2 linked regions of the Canis lupus familiaris genome follow. The protein of the gene in region 1 binds, or shares a complex with, the protein of each later gene. Links are inferred from orthologs where the notes say so. Each region holds a gene or a part of one and is shown in the gene's direction. Other genes may lie near its edges.

The links. Proteins that work in one complex are often made in the same cells at the same time.
Region 2: the proteins of PEAK3 (region 1) and YWHAB are in contact, whole or in part, in a cryo-EM structure (PDB 8DP5), measured with the Homo sapiens proteins. The link is inferred for Canis lupus familiaris from reciprocal best matches to the Homo sapiens genes PEAK3 and YWHAB. Residues at the interface, in NP_940934.1 of Homo sapiens: Arg66, Thr67, Gln68, Ser69, Leu70, Pro71, Thr72, Arg73; in NP_003395.1 of Homo sapiens: Val48, Lys51, Asn52, Arg58, Lys122, Arg129, Tyr130, Gly171, Leu174, Asn175, Val178, Glu182, Ile219, Leu222, Asn226, Leu229, Trp230.

The regions. Positions count from the first base shown.
Region 1 is NC_049241.1:57,237,241-57,239,405, forward strand, and holds the end of PEAK3 (protein PEAK3), read left to right. Parts: intron 1-310; coding exon 311-1,093; 3' UTR 1,094-1,597; downstream 1,598-2,165.
Region 2 is NC_049245.1:32,932,530-32,936,720, forward strand, and holds the start of YWHAB (14-3-3 protein beta/alpha), read left to right. Parts: upstream 1-1,345; 5' UTR 1,346-1,537; intron 1,538-4,191. UniProt on the Homo sapiens protein: Adapter protein implicated in the regulation of a large spectrum of both general and specialized signaling pathways. Binds to a large number of partners, usually by recognition of a phosphoserine or phosphothreonine motif.

The DNA.
Region 1 (2,165 bases):
CACATGTGGCTACTGGAAATGTTTAATTACACGGTGGCCTGGGTCGTAATCCTACTGGACAGGCCGGCCGTGGCACCTGAGCTGCCCTGTCCCCGGCGCCTCTGGCAGGCAGCATTTTGACCCCCGAACACCATGCTCCTCAGCGCGGCTTTCCTTGAAATCGCGCCGGCGACACGGCGACAGGCATCCGAATGAACATCTAACTCCTGGAGGCCACGCGGCCACTGGGCTCCCGAAGCGCCGCGGGGGCGGGTGGCGCTGGGCGGGCTCCCCGTGGTCAGGCCCTGATGGCCCCCCCTTTGCCCCTCAGGTGTCCAAGCCCGGAGCGGAGGAGCCCCACCCCTGGGGCCTGGAGCTGCAGGCCTCGCTCGCCCCGCACTTCAACCTGCAGGGCCTGTGCGGCCCGGTGCCCGAGGGCGCGCTGCCCGACGTGCCCTGGAGAGGCCCGGTGGTGCTGGCGGCCGAGGTGCCCGAGCTCACGGTGACGCAATGGCTGGAGGAGGCGGGCAGGCGGCAGCGGCCCGAGGAGTTCCCCTGGGTGGTGGCCGTGCTGCTGCTGCAGCTGACGTCAGCCCTGGAGCACCTGGAGGCGCGGGGCGCCGCCCTGGCCGAGCTGCGGCCTGAGAACCTGCTGCTGGTGGCGCCCCGAGGCTGTGCGGCCGCCGGGCCCCCGCGCCTGCTGCTGGCCGACTTTGGCCGCGTCCGCCCTCGGCCCCCGGGCCCCCCGGGCGCCCACGCGCTGCAGCTGGGCCGCCTGCTCCGCGCCCTACTCGGCCCCGCGGAGCCCTGCGCCTCCCCCTTGGCTGCGGGCCTGGAGGCTCTGGCGGCGCGGCTGGGCCGCTCCCGGCCCTCGGCCGCCCAGGCGCGGGGTGCGCTGCAGGCGCTGCTCTGGGGGCCCGGGCCCGAGCTGCACCGCCAGGGAGCCCCGCTGGGGCCGTGGCTGCAGGTGCGCCGCGCGCTGCTCGTGCTGCACCTGGCGGAGCGGGCCTCGGCCGGGGAGGCGCCGGGCCTGGAGGACTGGCTGTGCTGTGAGTACCTGGCTGAGGCCACCGAGGCCTCTGTGGGCCGCGCCCTGGCGCTGCTGTGGGACTGACACCCCGACGGACAGGCCCTCCCCAAGCGAGCGGACAGCCTCTTCCAGACGGGGCCGGCATGAGGGCACCTCCTCTCCAGCGCCCCCACTCCCGCTTCTACACCGGGGACTTAGGCCCAAGGCCTCCCCAGGAGAGCGGGCCCGGCGTGTCCCGAGGCTTTCCGATGCCAGGACCTTCCAGCAGGCGTGAGGCTGCGCTGGCCGCGCTGGACTCCCGTGTGCACCGTCCTCCCGAGAAGGTGGACGCGGCCTCCGTGTCTGGCCCCGGAGCACCCCTTGTGCTGCAGGTGCCGGTCATTCTGAGCGCATCCTTGTCAGGACCTGCTTGGGGTCCCGGGGGTAGGGGACGCTCCTAGGACCTGAGACGCCCGAGCGTGGCCTCGCTTCCCCGCGCTCCACCCTCCGCGGCCTCCTCGCTGCCCTTCTGTGAAGCTTGGTTCTGTGCAGCCGCCAGGCCTTCGCGTGGCTCTTCTGTCCAAGCAAATAAACTTGCCGCTCCTGGGCCCCGTGGCTCCGCCTCCTGTCGCCCGCCCCCGCCCCCAGCACCTGTCAGCACCTGGGGGGCCGCCACCTGACCACCTCCCCTCCAGGCTGTGGGTTCCCGAGGGCGGAAGCCAGGGGGGTGTCGACGCGCACACGGGATGGCGGCATAAACCGGCAAGGACGACGCACGGGGGAACCAGAGGGACAGAACAGGGCCTCGTTTACACCGCGGAGGAACACACGAGCCCTGGGGGGTGCCACTGCGCCTGCCTGGGGCCTCCAGTCACGGCCCTCACTTCCCCGCCCCCGTCAGGTTAGCCCGCAGGTATGACAGGTTCCTGGGCTGCTCAAACATCCCCCCTGGCTCCTTAGTACCCAGGATACAGTGGGCTCCTCCCCAGGCTCCCCAAGCCCCGGCCAACCCCGCCGGCCACACTGCCCACCCTCGGAGCCTCCTGACCTGCGGAGGAGCACCCTCCCCTCTCCTCGTGGGCTTCACACTCCTAGTCATCCTTCAATACCCCAACTCCAAAGCCCTTTGTCCAGCCTTGACTCCCCCCCAGGCTGGGGGGTTGTGCAGCTCTGCGTC
Region 2 (4,191 bases), on another chromosome or scaffold:
AAATAAGAAAAGCAGACTCAGGTCAGGAGGGGACCCTGGAGCTTTGAAAAGTCTATGCCTGACCTAGAGTGGGCGGCCACTCCATGGCTTCAGCCAGTTGTCACCGCACAGAAATGTGGACACCGTTTTGCCAGTCAAGGCCCGGATGCAGATTTCTGTGCGAACAGAAATCTTTTGTAAAAATGTTGGCAAGGAACACAAATCGTTTAGAAATATAGGAGCTGGCATATCGGGGAGGGTAAGGCATCATCCAACTGAAATAGGATTTCATGATGGAGGGAAAATAGGGAAAGGTGGAAGGTTAGGGGCAGCTGCTGGAGGACCTCAGACTGTCACACTCCAGGAGCTTATCACTGGTCTTCCAGGTCTCAGTAATCACCAAAAGGATGGGAAGATAAGACCGGCATTCTTTCAAGATGCTTTGGCAGTTGGATGGGGGCAGGGCTGAGGGTTAGGGTGATGAGTTAGAAGTCTATCATTCAGCTAAGGAGGGGCAAAGCAGATGACAAAGGCCTGTTTGACTTTGTTCTTTCTCCCACCGGACTGTAAACCCCCAAGACGGCAGGGCCGGGCTGTCTCGTGCTCGCTGCGTCTCCAGCACTAAGCACAAGGCCTGCTCCATAAATACTTGTTGAGAGAATGAATGAGAGGGAGGGAGAGGAGGTGAGGGGCACTCTGGAGGACTGAGTTTAAATGGGGTGTGTGTGCGCGCGCGGTAGAGGCCGGTTCCCTTTCCTGAAGCTTCCCCTGGGAGCCTTGGGAAGGGCGCGCCTCCACGAAGGGATCAGGGGCACCGGCTTCAATGAACACAAAAGACTCGGCCGGTCGAGGCCTGCAGATGCCTGGCGCTTCACGCGGCCTCTCCTGTCCACAAAAGGAGAACACGACGAGCGCCTTCCAAGGGCTGATGGGACGGTTAAGCGAAGGTTGAAGGCTGAACCATTTCTGTCCTTCCCCAGGTCCGCATTCCCGGAGCGCTCAGCCACAGGGGACTGACCTCCGCCTGCGACCCGGCGGCGATTCCTTTTGGAGGAGGGAGGGAGGCGATGACCCCGGCGTCGGCTCGGGTTCCCCCGCCGGGTTCCCAGCACCCCCGCACCCCGCACCCCAGCTCCGCCCTCTCGTCTCCCACTGCCTCTTTCCGCCCGCCGCCTCCATTTCCGCCCCCGTCCGCCCGCTCCCTCCTCGCTCCAGTCCGCCGCGTCCGGGTCTCCGCGCCCCTTCCTCCTCCCTCCGTCAGCGCCCCTCTCGGGCGGCCGGGGCAACCCCGTGCCCGGCTCGTCCAATGGGGAGCCGGCGCAGGGGCGGGGCGGAGCGCGGGTCGGAGCGGAAGTGGTGACCGGAGCGGAAGTGGAGCTGCCGCCACCGCCGCCGCCGATTCCGGAGCCGGGGTAGCTGCTGCCGCCGCCGCCGCCGCCGCCGCCGCCTGTGCAGCCGCCGCCGCCGCCGCTGCCTGAGGAGTGGGCTTGGGAAGGAAGCCGTCCCCGCGCTCGGAGCTTCGCTCGCAAGCGTCTTTGCCTCCTGCCGCCCTCCCGCGGTGAGTGCGGCGCGGGGTCCGCCCGGGGCCCCTGGGGGCCCAAGCCGAAGCTCCCCCCGGGGCGGCGCCCGCCGCAGCGACGCGGGCGACCCCGCGGGTGGGCCCTGGGAGGGGGCGGCGCGCCGCTTCCTCGGCCCCGCGCGGCCGCCTGCGGCGCGGGCCCGGCCTGGCCGCGGCCCCTCCCTGTTTCCGGGGCCGGGCCCTTGGCTCTGGGAAAGGCCCGGGCGGCCCTCGCCGCCTGCGGCCCTGCCCTGCGGGCGGGGTGCGGCTCAGTGCGAGGCCGGAAGGGACCTCGAGCCGCGGACCCCCGGCCCTCCCTCTCCCCACCTGCCTTCGATGCCCGCGCGACCCCTCCCTGCTCCTTGGGCGGCGAAAGCCGACCCTTTAAGCCCTGTCACCTCCGCTCCTTGCTTTCTGGTTTCCAGAAATTGAAAATTGACTAAATATGGGCTGGTTTTCGAGCTCCAGGGCCTCTGTTGACTACCCCCTGGCTGGGCAAGGGGTTTAACCTTGGGAGAGAGCAGAGGGAAAACCCCCCTCCCACTTTGCAGTAAAGCCATTTCATCATCGTTCGCTGGTTTGGAAATCTAGCAGGACCTGAGATCCCCTGAGAAGCACACAGGGTTGAGGTCTGCATCAAGAAAATGCATTTGTTAGAACCGCTTACTGAGTCAGGTCTGATCCCCAGGGGGGGAAAAATAATAATAATAATAATCAGAAGCTGAAAATCGGAGTGTTTTCCCACGGTATTTACCGTCATTTAATGCCAAAGTCTTTTGTGTCCTCACCCCAAATTCCCCCATACTGTGTGTTAGCACGTTTTTTTTTTTTTGTTTTTGTTTTTTAAGGATTGAAATTTGCCTGGTGGCCTCCCTGGTGGTAGGGAAGGGGTAGGATTGGTTTGGGCCCCTTTTCTTCAGAGGATTGAGTACATCTTTGTCTATTGCAAATGGAGAACTGCATGTAATGGGGTTTTCAAAGGTGGCAGTATTGGTAAGACAATTTGCCAACCTTTCTATAAAAACGCATGGCTCTTGTCCTTGCCTTCACTCCTTTTCTCTTTGGTAAGACTAGACAGCATCAGGCTCTGATTTTACCTACTCTCTGTGGGTGATGGAATTTGGCGAGAGGATGTTACGAACATACAAAATCAGGCGGCCACAGGATCCAGAAAGATGAAGCACTTTCAAAAAATATGAAAATTGTCTGCATTTCTCACTGTGTCATAGTTGTTCATATAAAGCCACACACACAGGCAGTTTATAGAACTGGACACATGGCTACTCAGCTTTTTGCATTTTCTCTTTGGAAATGTATATGCATAAATAATGCTTGATTCCTAGTGATTTTCTTCTCGACTGCCTTATCACACCCCATTTCTCAGGAATATCTCAGTTGTCTGAGCCCTCATTTTTCTTGGGTCTGTTTCCTTAGCAGCAGGCAAGATGGTGAGGGTAAAACCTGTCAGTTTTTATTAGACCCTACAGAATTTTGGGTGTGGTCTTCCAAATGGAAGAGTAGTAATCCAGTAGCAACTGCTGAATGATTTTCCTAACCTCGTTTTTCACTGAGATAAGAAACCATTCACCCATATTACAGATGAAGTCTTTATGAGAAATAAGGTAATTTGGCCTAGACCACACACCTAATTTTTAGATTGAATATCCTCATTCATCAGGAGCAAATATTTCTGGACTGTAAGCCCCTGGAGTATGGCTCCTACCCTATAATCTTCTGTACATTTCCCATCATGCAGTGCTTGTGTTATGTTGAAGCCATTTTAGAATTGGAGCTCTATAGATCAGGGAGGCAGCCTCCATAAAACCAGGCTGAGCAAATTCCCATGATGCTTGTTCCGGGTGGCAGAGTCTCCAGAGATTTGAGCTACTGCGAAAAGTGCCTTTTGCCCATTTGGCTGTGGATACAGAGACAGAGCACTGGACCTGGAGTCAGATAAATTTGATTCAGGTCTAGCCTGCAGCGTTTTCTAGCTGTGGGGTCTTCAGCATATTACTTAATCTCTGGTTCTTAGTTTCTCTGTCTCAGAGTTGTCTTGAAGCTTTTTTACAAACTATAATATAAACTGTTAAGTATAAGCTGTTTTTTTTTTTTAATCAGAATTCACTATTAATGGCTTTCTTTTTTCCTCCAGCTGCATTCTGATGAGACCCATCCCTGCTTTGTATACATTTTGCTTTCAAAAATTGATGTTCTTATAGAACTTTATTTTGTGTACAGCATCTTCTGGGTTTCTAAGCCTGTACAATGCAAATGGTAATAGTCTTTGTTGTGTTGTTATGACAAGCGCAATGATTAAAATAAGCATTTGGGATACAGTAGGTGTTTAGTAAATGTTATTTGACCATATCCAAGAATACACATATACAGAGACTGGATATAGCATATATCTATATGCTGTATAGCATAGACACATAGAATCCATCCATTTGATTTATTCGCCAGCTGATGAGGTAGCATCAGGGCAATTAGTCAATAATAATAACAGTTACCACATTGCCTGCTCTGTGCCACACTTTGTTCTAAGCTCTTTATGCATATTAATGAAGTCTTCATAAGAACCAATGATAGGTAAGTACTGTTAGCCCCATTTTACAGATGAGGAAACTGAGGCACAAGAGTTAAATAATTTTCTC